Linked DNA regions of Stegostoma tigrinum. The protein of the gene in region 1 interacts with the protein of each later gene in a pairwise test. Links are inferred from orthologs where the notes say so. Each region holds a gene or a part of one and is shown in the gene's direction. Other genes may lie near its edges.

What was found.
Region 2: the proteins of troponin T, cardiac muscle (region 1) and troponin I, slow skeletal muscle interact in binary tests that used the Homo sapiens proteins (3 or more experiments, as listed by UniProt). The link is inferred for Stegostoma tigrinum from reciprocal best matches to the Homo sapiens genes TNNT2 and TNNI1.

Annotation. Positions count from the first base shown.
Region 1 is NC_081374.1:31,949,630-31,960,845, reverse strand, and holds the start of troponin T, cardiac muscle, read left to right. Parts: upstream 1-6,036; 5' UTR 6,037-6,063; intron 6,064-11,216. UniProt on the Homo sapiens protein: Troponin T is the tropomyosin-binding subunit of troponin, the thin filament regulatory complex which confers calcium-sensitivity to striated muscle actomyosin ATPase activity.
Region 2 is NC_081374.1:32,237,601-32,248,512, reverse strand, and holds the start of troponin I, slow skeletal muscle, read left to right. Parts: upstream 1-6,788; 5' UTR 6,789-6,789; coding exon 6,790-6,869; intron 6,870-10,912. UniProt on the Homo sapiens protein: Troponin I is the inhibitory subunit of troponin, the thin filament regulatory complex which confers calcium-sensitivity to striated muscle actomyosin ATPase activity.

The DNA of each region.
Region 1 (11,216 bases):
GTGTAGAGCTGGATGAACACAGCAGGCCAAGCAGCATCAGAGAAGCAGGAAAGCTATGTTTTGGGTCGAGACCCTTCTAGTCTTAATTTAGTGTTGAGATCCATTCAAATTCTTATCTTTTGTGGCTCTGGGACTAATGGTTGGCTTTGATTCAGTGAATGTGATTTGATACACGATCCATTCCTTCCTCTCCTAAATTAGCAAAACCTGCTTTAGCTTTGTGAAAGGACATTATTAAGTTGTTTTGAAAGGTGATAACAGAAAGAACGGGAGATGCTTCCAAAAATAGGGACAGCTGTTCTCTCTTCTTCACAATGACTACTCGCAGAGAATTCCAACATTTCCCCAGTAATCATTCCACATTTCTCTTCAAACTAAATTTAGCTTTATCCTACAAATTGAAATTTTAGTTATGCAGTAATTTACTTCTACAAGAAAACCAGTTTATTATAAGGTGTCTGTTTGCCTCATTCAAATCCCAGAAGCAGGAAATTGTATTTTGTGATAGCTGCTTGTTCATAGCACAATTAAAAAGCTTATTGTTCGAATTGTTAACTTCTTTTTATAATCAATTCATTTCAAAGTTTGGTCTGTTGGAGGTTTATTTTAACTTTCCTGTATTGTGCATATCGACTTCACAAGGGTTTGACATATGGTCTCTATTAGTTGACTGCTTGAAGTTATTGAATGCAAAGCAAAGAAATCAATAAGTGGCCTGCAACATACTCTCTAAAGAGTTTCTGGTATGTACAATTTGTTTAAAAGCAATTTTTTTTAATTTTGCACATCTGTGCATGCATGATATATTAAAGACAGTAACTTGAAAGCTCATGTAAATTCTCGTGATCTGGCCAAGCAGCTTAGAAGGAACTTTACCACAACATGTCTGTATGTCGTGATTGAAAAATGATCAAAATAGTGTAGAGTGAATATACTTGCCTTTCTTTTTTTCACTAATATACTACCACAGTTATTGCTGTAGTAAAGATGGATCCTCATTGTAAAAGTATCTTTTAGGAATTGGACCTTAGCTGTTTAAAATTGGAAAATAGCGGCTAGACTAGCTCTAATTCCACGTTGATGTATAATTTCTCAATGCTCATTTCCAGCCTCCAGAAAGTAACCAAGATACTAAGTGTTTACAGTCTCTTGCGGTATGTTTTGCTACTAGCCAATTGACTTAAAACGTTATGCTAAGCAATCAGTATTTGAAAATTTAATCTGGATTTTGTTTCTTTTCTTAAAAAAAAGGTAAATCTGAGCTGGTGCCATTTACACATCACTAAAAGTCTTTTCTTTTTGGTTTGATAACTTTTAGGACCTTAGGGTTTAGAAGGAAGGAGTGTTCTCATCACAAATCTAGTGGATTGTAAACGTAAATACACTTCCCGAATAATCATTCCACATTTCGCTCCAAACTAAATTTAGCTTTATTCTACAAATTGAAATGTTAATTATGCAGTCATTTAAAATTATATTTATGAACAAAGACACTTTTGAATAACTTTACAAAAGTGAGGATAGTTCCTGTTTAAATTGAAGCTCATTAAGGTTTGTTTGATTAAACACAGACTGATTCTTGGTACAGCCAGATCACTATTCTAAATGTTCGCAATTGTTATTATAGGGATAATTACACAAAATTCAACTTAACTGATACTATTCGATAAAGTAGATAATTTATGTGACATAATTGATTTTTTTTATAAAATGTATCCAGTACTTTTATCTTTGATTCAAAGACTTCATTGGTTTTTAATTGGTTCACTGCAGCTCAAACCAATAAGCAATAAAGCAATTTGTTGTCTACAGGATATTGTTATGGAATCAGGAAGGAGAAAAAAAAATGAGAATTGCACATTATAAAGTTATACAGGACATAATACAAGATGGAATAAAGGATTGTAATCTGATTCACTAGTTTTTGAAGATTTCACAAGAATCTCCATGAAATGGCAAAATTAGCCAATGCTTCAAACACTTTTTTCTCCATAGGAACAATTGTTATTTGTTTCTGAAATCAGATATCTCAGCATAAAAATTGACTTGCACAGCTGTAAAGATAGGTTGGATTCCTCCCTCTTCTGGTGATAAAGTTAAAAATTAACCATTGTTGAGCTTGTTATTTTAATCATATATTTTGCTGTTACTTGCCTCCTGTATTATTATGTTTCCAACCCCTCTCCATCCCCCAAAACACATTTGTGCATTTCCAGTGACACATCATACTGACATCTAAGAATAGTAAGACTCATGGGCCATGACAAAGCGATGGTCTTTTATGGATTAGTGAGTGGTGCTTCTGTTCAGAACAGGGAAACCAACATCTTTCTAAAATAGAATATGTCACACTTCAACCCTGTCTCACCAATCAGCAAATACTCTGGTCTTAGGGCTGGACTGGATTTTAAGCACAAAATTCCGAAGTAAACTCTCAGATATTTACAAGTCAGCTGTGGTGCTATTTGTGCTCCTTTCTTCTCGGTAAGAATTTTCATTTCTTTCCCAAATTACTTAATTACAATATGATGTGATCTTATTTGGTTATGATTTGAAATTATTTTTTGTGGAATATTCAAGTGACATTTTTAACAAAGTAGGCGACATCTTTATTTTGTTCTTTTTTGTGCGATTTGCAAATAGCTCTACAATTAGAAGCCTTTTGGTGACTAGGATGATTAAATCTGTACATACTGACATTAATCAAAGCTATACTTAGCGCTGAACTTAGTGTAAATGTTATTGTGTTACTGGTCTCACAACTCAAAGATCAAAGCTGCTGACATTTAGGATTTTGGCTACCAGATGCTTGCATTATAGATACAGGATAATTAAACCCTACTAACATTCAGTATGTGTATTTTCACCATAATATACTGACAAGGGAAATCACAGGCATATATGACATTTAAATATGATTTTGAGAATCAGATCCAACAATATTGAAATTCATGAACAAAAGACCATATTTTACTAAGTTTTCTCACCCTTGAACACTGAAATGTATTTTAATTGCTTTTGTGGTTAAGGCTTTAATGAATGAGATTACACCCTATTACTGGCCTTTCTTATCTGAAAAGATAAAATTCTTCATAAAACATTTCTCTTTAAAAGGTCAAAGAATTGCAATTATTTCAGTTATGTAGAGTGGTAAGTAGGCCACTTGAAAGCAGGCATCACTGCTCAATGACCTCCAACAGCAATGGTTACCTTTAAATGCAGTACTGACATAAATATGCATTTAAAAATTCCTTTGTAGTGTGAAGTGCTCTAGAAAAAATTTAAACTTTTACTTTGGAAAAGATTTTTACATTGGACCTTTATAATTCTTTTCCTTCAGTATAAAAATATTTAAACATTAAACAAACGTATTTATATTGATTAGTTCAAAAGAATTAAATGTTTCAGCGCTTTGAACACTTAGCTACCCAAAAATACATGACAGAATTAAAGTCAATAAATTTGTACTTCTGGATTTTTCCATTGTGAATTTTATTCTTTAAGAATATTCATTCTTGGATAGGCTGTTTGAATGTACAGAATCATAGAATCACACAATTTTTACAGATCTGAAAGAGGCCATTCAGCCTGCCATGTATGCACTGGCCCTTGGAATGTGCAATTCACTTAGTTGCATTCTTTGCCACATCTCCTCAAGAGCTTCTGGCTGATTTGGTTGAGTAGCAGCTCCAGCAACACCATGACCACAGTGGTGGTGCTGCTAGAACTGCAGGAAGGCCTACCTTCAGAGAAGACAGTGTCTATCCTGGAGAGAGACAAGTCTAAGGTATTGTTTGGCGAAGGGAGCTAACAAAGCTTGATGAGCTGTAGAAGCAGGCTTAATGGAGTGTAGTTTTTGGAACTTATTTGAGGGAAGGAAGGAGCGGTACAACATTCAGAAAGGATGTCCCTGATTTGCAAAGAGCATACCCTGAACATAGTATTCCCACTTTCTTCCCACCAATTATTAAAATTCTTACAAAGAAGGCTTGCCCAATTGTGTCCAGTGCTCCCACAAACCATATTTTGGCATGGGCAGCGTATTATGAGGATCAATTAAGCTTTTTAACAAGTTCAATTGACTCATATTTATTCACATATGATAAACAGACTGCCTGATTTGACTCCCTAACCGCTGTATTGTGGGAGTGAGCCTATGGATGGATGGGATGTTACACAGCTGGGCACCAATTCTACATTATGTGCCCACCCATCAAAAAACACACCCAGAGAAGATACCACAAAGGGACTCCACAACTGGGTTTATGTCAGCCAAAATTTCAATCCAATTACAGATCCTTAAATAGGAATTAGTGTTAATTCTCTTTCTATATGTTGCCAATTAGCCTTATCTCCATAATCAACCACTTACAATTTTCATCCCTTTAAATTTATTATAGTTTTGCTAACATGAGCATTTTCAATGCCAGGAAAATATGGAACACATGCAATATCATATTGATTATAGCAATAGGTACTACAAACCAGAGCCTGACTTAAATCAGAATCAAAATATTTAATATTTTATAGCTTTCCAAAATTGGTCAATTGGTTGAAACTAGAAAGCATTGTGAATAAACATCCATATGAGTCATCTGTTATTTTAGAGCCAGACTCCTCAGTTCTGCTGATCTTCTGGCAGGATAATAGTGAACTTCTGTCTACCTCAAGCAAATATTAGTGACATGGTTATATAACTTTGTGGTTTCCAGAATCCTTTGACTGGCCTTTTAAGGCAGGAACACCTTGGGAAGGAAACTGATGGAGGATCATTTACTGAGAGTCTCTGTCACCATTGCTTGCTCAAGACTCAATGTACCCAAGAGGGTTACTTGACTGAATAGTTAGATGTATGTCCCAATGGCAGGGTCTAGACCAGTGGTGTTCTCCTGAAAAATGACAACTAGCTTTGTTAAAAAAAAAACTAAGTGGAACTCCTACATAGAGTGCCGATGAGGACCAAGGCCAAGGTCAAATGGCAGACATTGAAGTTTCTAGTCGCAGACATCTGCATTGAGGTTTTCACCTGCCTCAACCATGCAATTGAAATACAATTTCACTGACTCCCCAAACCATGTCCCTGGGAAATTCTTCCCAGTTGTGTTTTGTTTCTTTTCAACAAAGGCAAATAGTTTCCTATCAAAAAGATCTGAACCTCAGCATGTTATACTGATCTCCAAAAGGAATTGCAGCAGTAGTCAATTTAACCCATTTGGAATTTTGTAAAATCTGCATCTTTATGTTTGCATGAACATCCTTCTGCAAACTCTTTCATTTGGTAGTATGTACACATTAGCTTGTTTTCATTTCTGAAGCAATGTGGCAGAAATTCATTATGACTGTTATCTTTTCAGCCACAAGAAATTATCTTTAAATATGTCAGACACGGAAGACTGTGTGGAGGAAATTGAGTAAGTATAATTCTCAGTTGTTACAATTATAATCTTTTATTCTGTTACCTTTGTCTTTGACTTCTCATTGCTTAAATGTTTTCAATTGTTCAGTGTACTATTTGTGATATTTTCATACCAAATTCATTCCAAAGCATTCCCTTCTTGGAGTCACTGACTTTTTACCCAGTACCTCACCCAAAAAGCCATTTTACATGAGAGAGCCTTGACCTCCTATTTCAGTAGCTATAATGTTGGTGAAAGTGTCATAATGAAGTGCAAATCTACCATCTCTTAACTACTACAGATGTGCAATGTTATTGGTGAAAATTCTCATGATTAGCACTCCTGGTCTAACTTTTCTCTCCCTAACCCAAAGGGCCTAAGGTCAATTTCAGTTTATGTTAGTATCACAGCTGTAATTTAACATAAGTTAGGTGGTGAATCTAGGGCTTCTCTGTTTCACACAGTTCAGTCACTGCTCAGCCAACTTGCAGACTATTTGAGGAGATTTTTAAAAGGTTATTGTTATATTTCAGGGAACAAGAAGGTAAGAAGCTGAAAATGAAAATACTTCACTTCCACATTTTTCAAAAGGAATGCTCTAGTTACCTGTAATAAATATGTTTCCTTGTATTCCATTTGCCTGTTATAACAGAAGAAGAAGTCGAAGGTATGTACGTTATTTTTCCACTTCAGATTATTTCATGTTTTTCTTGGTAATTTAGTGAAGAAAAATAGAAAAGAGAGAGACAATTTAATCATCCAAGTCAATTTTCATAAAGCAAAGATATCTTTAACACAACATTTATCAGTCTCATGCTTTAACTGTGTAATTTTTACTTCCCCGACTTAAAATTCCATCCCTGGTGTTAACCATTCTTTGAAAATCAATAAATTCTGACATTGGTCTTATATATTTTTAAATCAGTTTTTGAAGTTGTCTGTGCTTTGCATTCATCATTTAACATGAAATACTGAATTGCATTAAGTTAACCTTTTCTGTTTCACCTTGTAACGTATATATCTATAAGGAAGCCTAATATTTGTCTTTTAAAGTTGAATGAATGGAAGCCTTTTTCATTTTTTTTTCTCAGAACGAAGTCCTCTGGATTCTGTAATGTAGTCCTTTATTTTGCACTGGCTACAGGACAAGTTGTAATCCCCTGAGTTGAATGCTGATGCAGCCTGAACAGAACACACTTATTTTTTCGGCTTAACTGCTTCTATTAGTTTGACATATAGTTCTGAATTGTGCTGCTTTTATCGATTATGCCAAGATATGGTTCATGTCAAGATTACTACTGTTATGACGCAGAGGCAGTGAGCCAAATCAAAATCTGCCTCCCTATCTGTGTATTTGCAACAGAAAAATGAAATACACAAAGACCCTCAAAATTAGCCCAATGGCTCTTAACAAGACTTTTTTTTTTAAATAACCTGAGTGAATAACTGATACTACACACCAGGTTTATAGCCTAAACAAAAGAATTATCAATTTATTACTAATATATAGTTTTAGCAGAGAACAGTGAAAGAACAAGGTATTCTAATTAATGGCTATAATTTAAACGCAATCTTCTTCGGTTCTAGACTGTATTCACAGAAAGATTGACTGACAAACAGACACAGTTAAGGGATTAATCAATAGGAGAATAAATGAGATGTAACTGGCCATCTCACTTAAGCAGTATCTATGATCAATAATATCACAAGCACATGGGATTGCATCTTGTTTGGTTTTATGAAGACACCAGTTAATGTAAACAGCTTCCACTAGACTCTGAGGAATATTTGCTTAACTCCTATAACTGAGGTTCTATTCTCTGAACTTTCAATAAGTTGAATACAGAAGGATAATCAGGGAGCAATCAATAATTCCCGCTATAGGTTAGATGGCCACAATCATCTGGTTTAAAAAAAACCTCTGTTCAAAACCAGTGCAAACTTTGGTTTCCCTTTCTTTTTTTCCCGACATTCTCTTCGTACCAGCCTTTCTGTAAGGCTATTTAACATTCAACACCTGTCATTTGTTTGAGTATAATGCCTCTCTGGAGTTAAATGTCTATAAAGTTCAATGTCTATAACATACTTGGAACAAGAATCAACCTGTAATTATCTGCGAGACCTGACCTCATAAACAAATATCAGTTTTCCTGCCCTTCCAAAACAAATCAAGCTGTTGCTCACAGTTCAAACATCACCGCCAACCCCCAGCTCACAATCCAAAGCACCAAACCAAACGATACAGTAAAAAAAATTAGCATAGCTCTCATAGCACTATCATTGCCAGAGCTTATTGTGTCCCCGACTAACTAGTCTAGCTTCAATCATTTGAGAATTTTTCCAATCGTTTCTTACAGCGATGAGTGTTGTGCCATTTCTGTATTAAAGTTAATCTCGCACAGTTTGACTATTTAGAAAGATTTTGTCCATGTTAACTTCTTGGTTATTTTATCACATTCTACTGTTCTGGCTCATTTATTATTCACAAGTTTGATCAATTTAGATTGCATTTGACAACAGGTAACAGATTAATTAGCTTTTCCACATCTGACATGAGCCACCTTCTGAAAATCAAGATATGTAAGATATGTACATAATAAGACTTCCTAAGATGCACTTGAATGTCAGTTCCTAGAGAAATAAAATCAAGGAAGTTATTCAGGCAGTTATTTCATAAAGGCAACCTTCCAGTTTATTCCTTGTATAACAACTCAGATTATTTAGTCCATGTTTGTTTAATTCCCATCCAACGAGACCTTCCCTACTTTCATTGACAAATTTGCAAGGATGTAGCCAGGGTTCAAGGGTTTGATCTAATGGGAGAGGCTGAATAGGCTGGGCTACTAGGATTGGTACTCGGTTGTCAAAAGGGTCTAGGCCCGAAACGTCAGCTTTTGTGCTCCTGAGATGCTGCTTGGCCTGCTGTGTTCATCCAGCCTCACATTTTATTATCTTGGAATCTCCAGCATCTGCAGTTCCCATTATCTCTGAGATTAAAATTTGGTTGAGTTTTGGTAACTCTGGCCTGGTTTAAGTGCATTGGCTAAATTCAAAAATCTGTTGTTTCTCCTAGACCCTTCATCAGAGAGGGGGATGGGGTGAGGGTTCTGGAATAAATAGGGAGAGAGGGGGAGGCGGACCGAAGATGGAGAGAAAAGAAGATAGTTGGAGAGAGTATAGGTGGGGAGGTAGGGAGGGGATAGGTCAGTCCAGGGAAGACAGACAGGTCAAGGAGGTGGAATGACGTTAGTAGGTAGGAGATGGAGGTGCGGCTTGGAGTGGGAGGAAGGGATGGGTGAGAGGAAGAACAGGTTAGGGAGGCAGAGACAGGTTGGACTGGTTTTGGGATGCAGTGGGTGGAGGGGAAGAGCTGGGCTGGTTGTGTGGTGCAGTGGGGGGAGGGGACGAACTGGGCTGGTTTTGGGATGCGGTGGGGGAAGGGGAGATTTTGAAGCTGGTGAAGTCCACATTGATACCATTAGGCTGCAGGGTTCCCAGGTGGAATATGAGTTGCTGTTCCTGCAACCTTTGGGTGGCATCATTGTGGCATTGCAGGAGGCCCATGATGGACATGTCATCTAAAGAATGGGAGGGGGAGTGGAAATGGTTTGCAACTGGGAGGTGCAGTTGTTTATTGCGAACCGAGCGGAACCAACCCGAAGGTTGCAGGAACAGCAACTCATATTCAGCTTGGGCACCCTGCAGCCCAATGGTATCAATGTGGACTTCACCAGCTTCAAAATCTCCCCTTCCCCCACCGCATCCCAAAACTAGCCCAGTTCGTCCCCTCCCCCGACTGCACCACACAACCAGCCCAGCTCTTCTCTTCCCCCAATTGCATCCCAAAACCAGCCCAGCCTGTCTCTGCCTCCCTAACCTGTTCTTCCTCTCACCCATCCCTTCCTCCCACCCCAAGCCGCACTTCCATCTCCTACCTACCAACCTCATCCCACCTCCTTGACCTGTCCGTCTTCCCTGGATTGACCTCCCCACCTATACTCTCCTCTCCACCTATCTTCTTTTATCTCCATCTTCGGTCCACCTCCCCCTCTCTCCCTATTTATTCCAGAACCCTCAAATCATCCCCCTCTCTGATGAAGGGTCTAGGCCCGAAACGTCAGCTTTTGTGCTCCTGAGATGCTGCTGGGCCTGCTCTGTTCATGCAGCCTCACATTTTATTATCTTGTTTCAGCAAAAATGCTGCTTTGCCTACGGACAGCACAGCCTTTTGGTACAATGTTTCAATTTCATGAATGCTCTGTGTGCTGCTGCCTGCAGGCTCTTTTAAATCTGAAAACCTTAAAAAAGCTTTTAAAGGGACCATGCAATATTCCTGCCACCCCTGATCATTTTACAATCATTAAATTTTATCATCCTGCCTTCCAATCCACAAATACTCTACCCAAGATCTCAACAGTTCCTGCCTGAAGGAAATAAATGAATCATCATGATGAAAAGGTGGATTTTTTTTCTCTAAATCTTAACACTTTATTATTAGATCCATAGGTCATTAATCTAAAGTTATACATTCCATACTAATCCTATATGCATTTATAACATTGAGCGACCATTTATAACATTGAACTATCATATAACTGCCATTTTGATCTTATTTATACAATATTGTTTCTTTAAATAATAATAAAAAATTATTATGATTAATTCTGTAGTCTGGGGAAATAATGTCTTTGTTTGTGGGGTTGAGGATGAGTTGTTTTGTAGCAGTTTCAATTCAACAGGGGGTGCATCAGCACCAAAATCATGAAGGCAGGTATTTTGAACTGTGCAGTCAGGAGAGACTCTGTCATACATGAATTCAATTGATCAAAGATTTCAAAGACTGCAAAGTTCTGTAATTTATTTATGAATTGTATAAATATTTTATGTTGGTTTGCATCATTTAACATTTATATAGAATGATGAATGCAGGTATTATGAGCCTAAGAGCAAAATTTCTGCTTATAAGTCTATTTGTACTTAAATGTCTTAAACCTGTTTCCTCCACTGGACATTGTTTAACTCCTCAGTTTGTGTGACTGTACATGTATTTTATAATACTGCTTTAACATCCTATTTTAAAATATTAACTGATCTAAACTTTTAATTCATGAAACTGGTCCCCATGCAGAAGAGGAACATGAAGAAAATGGTCAATAGATTTTTAAACTCATTGAAGTTGCATGCCAAACAATAAATCTGTTATTGTGCATTGCTTGCTCCATATCGAATGGAGTCCTCATTTGTATTGAGGTTATTTAAACTTTCCATCTCTTGTTTTAACTGTACTATTTAAACCGGTGATTAACTGAGCTGTGAAGGAACTGGACTTGATAAATACACAGCAACTCCTTTGGATTTGACTGTTTAACTATGAGTTAAGTAATTTTAATCTCCTAGTATATAGAAGCTGTAGTGAAAATTAGTCTGGCAATAAGGACGGCACGGTGGCTCAGTGGTTAGCACTGCAGCCTCACACAGCGCCAGTGACCTGTGTACAATTCCAGCCTCTGGTAACTGTCTGTGTGGAGTTTGCACATTCTCCCTGTGTCTGCGTGGGTTTCTTCTGGGTGCTCCAGTTTCCTCCCACAGTCCAAAAATCTGCAGGTTAGGTGGATCGGCCATGCTAAATTGCCTGTAGTGTTCAGGGGTGTGTGAGTTACAGGGGGATGGGTCTGGGTGGGGTGCTCCAAGGGGCAGTGTGGACTTGTTGGGCCAAAGGGCCTGTTTCCACACTGTAGGGAATCTAATCTATTAGATAGCACTCCTATCTTTTAAAGGGAAATTTCATCTTGGGACTGTGTAGATCAATATGATGGTCAG
Region 2 (10,912 bases), about 290 kb from region 1:
TATTTGATTACTTCTATTTATGCTTAATCTCAAATTTGAGTACCATTCCATTCTTATGTCTAATTGGGTTAATAAATATAATGAGGAAATTGTTCCAATAAGTCAACTTTCCCAAAAATGTACCATTTAAATTGCACGAATTTGAATGATCCATGATCCACAACATTTTACAAACTTAGCTTATGTTTTACAAATCTCTTCCGTTCTGGAATATTCTTTGCTGCTCTTCTGTGAAATCATAAAATAAGCAATCAAATTCTTCAAATATTTGTAGCTGTACAAGGTCACTCCCAGATGTGTTTGGGGTTTTTAGAGACAACGCTTGTGAAATGACCTTGCTGATCCACAAAATATTCAGCTGCAGTTAATTTTGCTAAGTATTAATGGCATCAATGAAATTTCCTTTAGAATTTGCAGAGCGAAGAGTGGAACGCAGGGCCAGGAAATTACCAATCTTCAAAATATATGAGGGGTGTTTCTCCTCCGTCATGAGGTTTCCCTTGGAGGATTTTCTTGAATCAAGACTGCCCTGAGGCACTGAAAGGCATTGCTTGTTCTGTCATTTGCTAATTAGTAACAGTCTGGCTGTGTGGGGATCTGTACTGAATCACTGATATGAACAATGATTGTTGACCATCATTCACTTCTGCAAGTTACCAAACTGTTCTGTATGGTCCTGAGAAATATGATCTCTCTCTCTCTCTCCATCACTTAGGAAACTAATTTCAATGCAAGTTTCAAAACTCAAGTGCATGGAAATATTTGTACATTTATTATAAGTAATGTTTAAGACAGAATTGAATTTTTAGATTAGCGCCATACATTTTGAAGCATGCTTCTGAAAACCATATTATAGTTTTAAGACTTTACTTAGATTAAATTGTTTCAATGTTGAAAAGAACGTTAATATGAAACAAATCAGAAATGTGGCTGGATCTCAAAGCAAAGAGAATGCTAATGACGTACAGAAGTACGGGGTGGCATGGTGGTTCAGTGGTTCGCACTGCTACCTTACAGCACAAGGACCTAGGGTCAATTCCAGCTTTGGGTGACTGTGTGTGGTGTTTGCACATTCTTCCTGTGTCTGTGTGGGTTTCTACCAAGTGCTCTGGTTTCCTCCCACAGTCCAAAGATGTACAGGCTAAGTGGATTGCAATGCTAAATTGCCCTGCACTGTCCAGCGATGTGGAGGCTTGGAAGGTTAGCCATGGTAGATGTGGGGATACAGGGATGGGAGTGGCTCAGGGTGGGTACTCTTCAGAGGGCTGGTGCAGACTTGATAGGCCAGATGGCTGCTTTCTGCACTGTAGGGATTCTATGATGAGAAATAGATGAACAGTATGTGTTAATGATAGTTTTTTTACCTGATGCTAAATCATAGTTGAGTTACATGTAGAGAATCATCCCATTTTACTCTTAGTGGACATTATTGACCAAAGGATTCTGATGTATTCCATTGATTAATGTATTCTAGAGTTACACATTTTAATCTTTCTGTTACAAAGCAAGATGTTGATCAAAAAACGCAGGCATTAGCAATGTGTAAAGCATTTAGGTGAAGGATTGATACGAGTGAATGGGAAATTATTTCAGTATGATGTCAGTTTCTATACTTTTTACCTTCTCCTAATACACATGGGGAGGCAATTGCCAAGTGGTATTATCGCTGGACTGTTAATCCACTGGCCGAGATAACATTCTGGAGACCTGGGTTTGAATCCTGCCATAGCAGATGGTGGAATTTGAATCCAAAAAAAATCTGCAATTAAGAATCTAATGATGCCCATGAATCTGTTGCAGGTTGCTGGAAAAACAAATCTGGCTCACTAATGTCCTTTAGGGAAGGAAACTGCTATCCTTACCTGGTCTGGCCTCCATGCGATTCCAGACCCACAGCAATGTGGTTGCCTCTTAACTGCCCTCTGGGCAATTAGGGATGGACAATAAATACTGCCTAACCTGCAATGCCGTGTTTCCATTAATGAATAAAGATGTGGTGCGCTGTGTTGTGAATAAAAAGAGCTGAATCTGAGCCCTTAAACATTGTGCTCCCTTAAAATTAAAGCAAAAACTGTGGATGTTGCAGATCCAAACTAAAACAATATGCTGGAGAAACTCAACAGATCAGGCAGCATTTGAGGAGAGAGATACAATGAGTATAATAATGGTTAGACTGTCTGGACACCCACATCCTTCACTTGAATTTTGAAAATCAAGAGATGTTTTTTAGTGATAGGAACGAATCTTCACATGCAGAGAGAATCCCAGCTGGTGGAAAGCAGGCAGTTAAATTACAGCACGAGATTTTTAATCAAATTCATTCTTAAGACATGGCCATCACTGGTTAGTGTTGACTTATTATCTATCCCCAGCCACCTTTGAAACAGAACTGTCAACCTTTTCTTGACTTGTTATAGTCCATATGGTTTCCTCAACCCTGATAGCATCGGGCTCCTAGTGAAGCACCAATGTGATATCAGAAATGGCATAGCAATGCAAGGCAACGATGCTGAGAACATGCAGATAGATGCTGAGAGAATGAGTGCTAAGAGAGCAAGGGAGCAACCCAAGATTTAATCTGGTCCTGTCCATCAGTTGGGGGCCTGGTGCTTGCTGCTTGAACGTGGGCATTTCAATGATGTCAAACTTAAAAGTAAGGATGTTACAAAAGGCCAATTGCTGGATGAAGGGGAACCAATATTCATCCAACACCCATTGCTTCATCATTTGTCATGCACATATAACAATGGTTTGTACTAAACACTGTAAGGAGATGAGCATTTGATGTCGGTCGAGAATAGAAAATGTTTTGGGGCATGCAAGATCTTCCCTCAATGACAATTTTTGGCCTTCAGCATATGCCACCTTCACCAAAATAAAACAAAACAAAAAAAAACTGCAGATTCTGGAGACCTGGAACTCCATTCTGTTGAAGAATGTCTGGACTTGAAACATTAGCTCAGCTTTCTCCCCACAGATGTTGTCAGACCTGATGGGGGATCTGTCTTCTGAGCAGGACAAGGGCAATGAGGAGGAGGAAGCTGACATTTCCCTTGAAAGAGATCAGCTGCTTTGGGTGCCATAAGCTGGACAAGACCTTACTTGGTTCCAATAGAATCTAACAATTTTGCCAATCTAACCACAATTATACCCACTGGTATGGCACATAATTATGGATTGTGAAATATTTATTGGCTATGATACCTAAATCAGGTATGCATTGTTAAGGAAATCCTCAGCTTCTATTGGTTTCATTTACACTTGTTTTTTTCCATCAGTAAATAAACAGTTATGTTTGGAATTGTCCAATTGCTTCCTTGTATGTGATACTCCTCTCCTGGAATTGGGCGGGGTATTGAGTACAAGAGTTGGCAGGTCATGTTGCAGTTGTATAGGACTTTGGTTCGGCCACATTTGGAGTACTGTGTACAGTTCTGGTCGCCACATTACCAAAAGGATGTGGATGCTTTGGAGAGGGTGCAGAGGAGGTTCACCAGGATGTTGCCTGGTATGGAGGGTGCTAGCTATGAAGAGCGGTTGAATAGATTAGGATTATTTTCATTAGAAAGATGGAGATTGAGGGGGGACCTGATTGAGGTCTACAAAATCATGAGGGGTATAGACAGGGTGGATAGCAAAAAGCTTTTTCCAGATTGAGGGACTCAATTACTAGGGGTCATGAGTTCAAAATGAGAGGAGGAAAGTTTAAGGGAGATATGCATGGAAAGTTCTTTACACAGAGGGTGTTGGGTGCTTGGAACGCATTGCCAGCGGAGGTGGTAGACGCAGACACGTTAGCATCTTTTAAGATATATTTGGACAGGTACATGGACGGGCAGGGAGCAAATGGACACAGACCGTTAGAAAATAGATGACAGGTTAGACAGAGGATCTTGATCGGCGCAGGCTTGGAGGGCCGAAGGGCCTGTTCCTGTGCTGTAGGTTTCTTTGTTTCTTCTTTGTTTCTTTGACAAGTTTGTAGTGTTCAAATGGGATGTAACAATGGGCAGGTAGTGTATGATGTGGTGACTAAATAGTGCCAAGGAAGATAGAATAACGTTGCATATGCAAGGGAGTGTCAACTATATGTTGTGGGCATTGTGGCTTTGGTGATATTCCATTACGCTGCCAGCATGAGGCAGTGCTGGATTGCCAATTTTCATCTGCGTTAACAGCGCCCTCTCAAAGATGGTACGGGCAGCAACGATGCTAGTCTTTTGATAGGCACCTGCTGATTGTTGAATTGCTCTGGGGACCACGTGTGGTAAGCTGAGAGTGGAATCAGCTTTGATGGACATCGTAGGGAATAGGATAGGTAGGTAATGCGGCGAGTTTGGTAAGATGTGAACATAGAACATTACAGCACAGTACAGGCCCTTTGGCCCTCGATGTTGTGCCGATCTGGCATACTGATCTCAAGCCCATCTAACCTACACTATTCCATGTACATCCATATGCTTGTCCAATGACGGCTTAAATGTACCTAAAGTTGGCGAGTCTACTACTGTTGCAGGCAAAGCGTTCCATTCCCTTACTACTCTCTGAGTAAAGAAACTACCTCTGACATCTGTCCTATATCTTTCAGCCCTCAATTTAAAGCTATGCCCCCTCGTGCTCGCCATCACCATCCTAGAAAAAAGGCTGTCCCTATCCACCTATCTAACCCTCTGATTATTTTATATGTTTCAATTAAGTCACCTCTCAACCTTCTTCTTTCTAATGAAAATAGCCTCAAGTCCCTCAGCCTTTCCTTGTAAGACCTTCCCTCCATACCAGGCAACATCCTAGTAAATCTCCTCTGCACCCTTTCCAAAGCTTCCACATCCTTCTTATAATGCGTTGACCAGAGCTGTACGTAATACTCCAAGTGCGGCCGCACCAGAGTTTTGTACAGCTTCACCATAACCTCTTGGTTCCGGAACTCAATCCCTCTATTAATAAAAGCTAAAACACTGTATGCCTTCCTAACAGCCCTGTCAACTTGGGTGGCAACTTTCAAGGATCTGTGTACATGGACACTGAAGTGGTGAGATAACTCACTAGACTTTGCAGCAGAAATCCCTCAAAAGAAACTCAACACAACTGGGAGTTAGCCAAGAACCATAAGATTCAACCAGGCGTCATTGTGACCCAACTGAGCAGAGAAGTGACTGGTACAAGACAAAACCTGGGCATGCTTTTCTCTTAACTCCCACAAAACTAGTTACGCAATGGTGGGAATTAACTGATTCGTTCATTGGCATTTCTCCCATTGTGTGGAATCTTGCACCTACCAACTGATCATAGGCTGGAAGCTGACAGCAAACATATAAATGATTCCAAAAGAGTTAAAATCTTCTGGATCTCAAGTGGTGAATTGTGGCATGGTTTCCTATCCAGTCCAACACTGGTTACACTGATCCCATTCCCTCTATATTCATTAAAATCACTCCCGTCAGACCTGCTAAAACCATGGTTTCAAGGCTTTCATAAAGTTGGATATTCTAAAGATGGATGCAACTTAAGACCTATAGCTGAATCCTTTTTCCTTCTGATATAGTGCAAGGTTCAGTGGTGTCAAAAAAGACTGTTCAGAATAATTCCTCCTATTTTAGTAGATTACCTCATACAAGAACAATAATTAGATTTTAATGTATGTGTCCCTGGATTATATTGGAGGGTCATAGCTGTATTCACAATGCCAAATTATTTTTATAGATATTTTCTAATCAACCTATACCTACACATCCCAGGATCAGGCCTCCTAGTTCAGATGTAAAGATACTACCATTGTCCCTCTAAGAACCCACCAACAAATACATCTTATAAATTTCTCCAGTGCAAATGGTTTTTATGAAAGTTGGATTGAAAATGAGAACTTAAGGTAAATAGCTTGGCATGAATGTTAAAAGCCAGTATCCCATGTTGTTGAAGGGCATTTAATTTTTAAAATTCTTTCTTGGCATGTGAACATAAATGAGCAGGCCAAAATTTACTACTCATTGCTAATAACCCTTGAAAATCTGATGATGAGCCAATTATGTGTCATTTTTATTTCTGCCAGCACTCAGCTCATTTATCCTTATAATTTATCCATTTTTGCACATGGAAACTAAACAATTAGTAATCGGCAATAGAGCCTAGAAGGTCTGATTGTCTTCAATTTACTTACTTTACATTCTCTATTTACAAATGATAAATGTGTACTGAAACTGTGGCATATCTATCCAAGGCCAGAAACAGAGCACAAGGCATATAACTAGAGGTACACAGTTAAAATCCTCCAGAGCACGTAAAAGATTTCAAAATATATTTTAATGTGGCCCCAAGAAATTGCGTCAATTGTCTTTGTTGCTTTATCGATTTTAAACCGTGTCATCAAAGAAGATTAACTAAAGATAAATAACACAGGTAGATGATCTGAACGCTAAAATCACTTGCAATTGCAGCATATGTGTAATTATATTGTACTAGGGCTGTTGAGGGCAGCCAACGTGCACATGTTTGGACATAGTGCATCATTCTATACATATGTGGTGACACAACAGAACAATTGAAGTTAGCTAATTGAGTATTTCCTTTCAGAGCTGTTAGGGAACATGTTTCATCGGCTCAGGTTTTATTTCTTGAATTTGATGTTAGCCAAGTGGGAAGGTAAAACTTATATGCCATACATGAAAGTGAATGTAGACTGGATGTCTCTTCATTCTGAAAAGTTCCTTTTCATTCCTTTCCTGACATGGCATTTGCAAAACAAACAAAATCTGGGGAAATGACTCAAATCTGTGTTTTCTTGCATTTATTCACAGAATGTGGGCATCTTTGGCTGGACCAGTATTTATTGCCCATCTCGCAAGTAAGAATCTGAAGTCACATGTTAAGCAGACCAGGTAAGGATGACAGATTTCCTCCCTTACAGGGCTTTAAGTGAACCAGATGGCATTCCCCGCCCAACAATTGACAATGGTTTCATGGTCATCATTAAATCCTTATTCCACATTCTTCATTGAATTCAAATTCCACCATCTGCCACAGCAGGATTTGAAGCCAGATCCCCAGAACATCAGCTGAGTTTCCTGGATTAATAGTCCAGTGATGCCACTAGGCCTCTACCTCCCTGCAAAAAGCTGCATTTAGTGCGTTATTCTGATTGGGGAGGATTTTGAAAATGAAGGCCACTTCTTTCTGGAGGAGGCTAGAGCTCAAAATTCACCTTGAGTGGTGGTGCCAAACAATGCTATCATAGCAGCTGCCACTTGTATGCAGAACCTCATCACCAGTTTCACTCGATATAATGGATCGCTGCTCTGGCATTACTTGTTTATGTCAGAACCTGGGACCAATTTCTGTTGCATGATGTGAAACATTAATATGCTGCCTGTAGTTGCCATGAATATTAAGTGGAGAGCAGTTGATAACCAGGACTTCTTGCTTTTAAATTTGTCCTACATTTTAGAAGATTTCTTACTTTCACATTATTTCCGGCTACTACAAGGCTTATGTGGTCAGATCGTTAGGTTTTAAAAAACAGTAACGTGCTGCAGCATTGTTGTTAATTCCTTTATTTTCCAAGATAATACTACCGTTATTTTTCCCTTATAGCCCTAATGCTTTCTTGTATATACTTTACACACCTCTTATGATGAGAAATTTGATCAAACCATCGAGAATTATTGTACTTAATTCTTCATTCACTCACATGTAATTGATGATTAATTTATTTTGGATAGCAGTACTATATATTGTTTTAAGTAAGTAATGTCTATTGTTTTTCCCTTCACTTCCCTCAGCTTGATTAAAGAGGTGGTTTGTAGGAAAGTAATTCTTCTGTTTATTTTGGTATGCAATAGATGGTACTGTTTACCAAACAAGTCCCTGTTGAATTCATTTTGGGACAAAGTGATAAAAATTGATTTTCTTTTTGCATGGATTTCATGTTTTTGACATAATTTCAGCTATAAACATCACCTCCAGCTCACTTCAAAGTTGTATTTCCTGGATTTGGAATACAATAATAAAGGGCCAGCTGGATGCTGTCTGATGTGGTGGGATTTGACAGGGGTGTTCCGGGTCATGAACCCATCCCTTGAGGGGAAAGAGACAGTGCTTCCAATTTTGATGAAGGTTGGCGTTAATCAATGAGAGCTTAGAAGTGGTGGCCAATTAGTGGCTTTAGTGAGGAGCAACAGTAGAGGCTGAAAAGCAGGTCACATTCTGGCCCAACTTACTGGTTTTATAAGCTTTTAAAAAAACGAAACCATTTGAACCTTCTGTTGGCTAAGGCATATGGATACCTGGAACTTTAGACAGCACAAGGAAACCTTCATGTAAAATTTCATTGCTGTGGAACAGATTTCCTTTAAAGTTTCCACTTTTCCTAAAATTCCACATTGTTGACGCTGCTCCCAACAAGGTTTTGTTTTATGTAGTTTCTAAGAGCTAGCAGCACCAACAAAAATGTTGCCACCTTAGAATGGGAGCTGTTTAAGTACCCCTTAGTTACCAGAAAGTGCCCAGTCATTATTGGGATTTTACTTCTCTCTGTTTCATATACTCTCCTCTCCCACCTCACAAAAATTATCGGAGTCAGGAATGGGGACATGGGAGTGTTACAGCACATAATGTGAGCACCACTTTTTCACTCCTATTTGCCACTCTAGCCCCTCACCTACGGACCCACCTGCCATCTATCCACTTACCTACCTTGCTTCCCTTCCTCATTTACCTGTTGTTAGCCTGTCCCTTCAAGTACGCATGTGCCACCCTGCTCTGTCACCCATTTATCTGCCATTCTAATTCTCTCACCATTCACCTGCCAACTTACCACCCCACTCAATTACTTGCCATTCTGCTACCTCCCTCACCTGGCAGCCTATACATTTGCCCATCTACCCATCACCCTTCTAGTTCACCTACCAGCCATCCTATCCCCTCATCCTCTTTCCTGCTACCTCCGGCTCTCACACACTTACCTGTCACACTATCCTCCCTCACCTATCTATCTGCCATCCGGCCACCCTAAACCCTCACACACTTACCTTCTCTTCGTAACTTATCTAAGTACCTTTGGGATCTTTAAACTATTTTTCACAGGAGACCAAATACTGAATGAATTCCTTGAGGGTCTCCTGAGATGGAGGCATCCAGGACAGGTTACACTCAAACGTTTGATTGTAAATATCACTACCAAGTAAGTGCGCAATCAGGATCATTGTTGGTCAGATCTGTCCAAGAGTAATCGGAAGACTTAGACCATTGTAATTTGATATTGGTTTTGGAATTTCATTTCTATCTGGGAATATGGAAATGGAATGACTTGTCAGATTGAATAAAAAGTGTTGAACGCATTCATTTAAACGTGTAATCGTTCCATTACCAACACACTGTGGCAGCCATATGTGCCATCTACAAAATACACTACGACCACTAACCAACGTTACTTTGAAAACATATTTCAAACCTGTGATCTCTATCACTTAAAAAAGACAAGGGCAGCAGATGCATGATAGAACTACTACTACTTGCAAAGTCTCCTCCAAACCACACACCACTCTCACTTGGAACTCTATTGCTACTCCTTTGCTGTTGCTGGGTCTAAATTCTGGAGCTTCATTCTTCAAAGCAGTGTTGGTGCACCGATCCTGCATAGATTGTGCCAATGTAAGAACGCAGGTGACCAGCACTCTCTGGTGAGCAATTAGGCATGGGCAACAAATGATTGCCAAGACAGTGATGGGTCATTTTCTGTGAAAAAATAACATTAAAGCCTTTAAGTACATTTCAAACTGACAAAATACAAATTGTTATCTTTCAAAGATAAAATGTCTACTCCATAGATTTTTCAGGAGCTGCCAACAATGTTGTTCTGTGCCAGCTGAAAGAACTGTGTCTACATTCAGCTACTTCCTTATTTCCAAAAGGACATTCCAAAATGCCCCCCTGTTGCTGGAACCCTCATCTGTACTCTTGTCACCACTGGACATGACTGTTTCAAAGCTCAGTGAACTTCACCTCCATTCTTTCAGATTTAAATTGGCTTGCTGCCTCTAATTGCCTCCCACTTAAACTCCTCATCATTATACTTAAATCTCTCAATAGCCTCACCCCTCTATATCTCTATAAATCTCTCCATCTGGAAAAAAATCTCCCAACAAAATCTCCAAACTATGTTGTTTCTCTGCTCCATTTCCCCGAAAGTTGCTTGTCTTAAATATGCACTGAAATCATGACAGAAATGATTAAATTTATCACTTATTATACTGAATCAATACAATTATTTTTGAATTGAAGTTTTGCAACAACTCTTTGAAAATTTTACTCAATACAACAAGATGTGACTAAATCCATGTTAATTATTTAAAACAGTTTGTTGTCAGCTAAGGAACCTTCTGGCCAAATGAATTTATTATTTGTTATTAGAAAACAGTTACAAGATTTGAAATCATTTGTTATTACTTGATGCAAAAGTTCACAATATAAACATGCAAATAAGATTGACTTGTATTCCTACAGTGTGATACACAATCACTTTATACTCAATAAAATAATTTAAAAGTGTAGAGGCAGCATCATAAAATGATACAGCTCAGATGGTTATTTGCTCTAATCTGACCATGACCACTCTTTGGGAAGACTGATGCAATTTGTCTCACTCCCCTGCTCTTTTCTGTAATTTATTTCCTTCAATTATGTATCCATTTCCCTTTCAAAGTTGCTATTAAATCTGCTACTATTTCAGGCATTCCAAATCATAGCAGTTTGCTTCTCACACTGTCATTTTTTTGTTAGTCCATCACTTAAACCTCTGCCCTCTGGTTACCAAACATTTTTTATTATTAATTTGTGGGAAGATGGTATCACTGGCTAAACCAGCATTTATTGCCCATCCCTAATTGCCCAGAGAGTGGTTAAGAGTCAACCGCTGTGGGTCTGG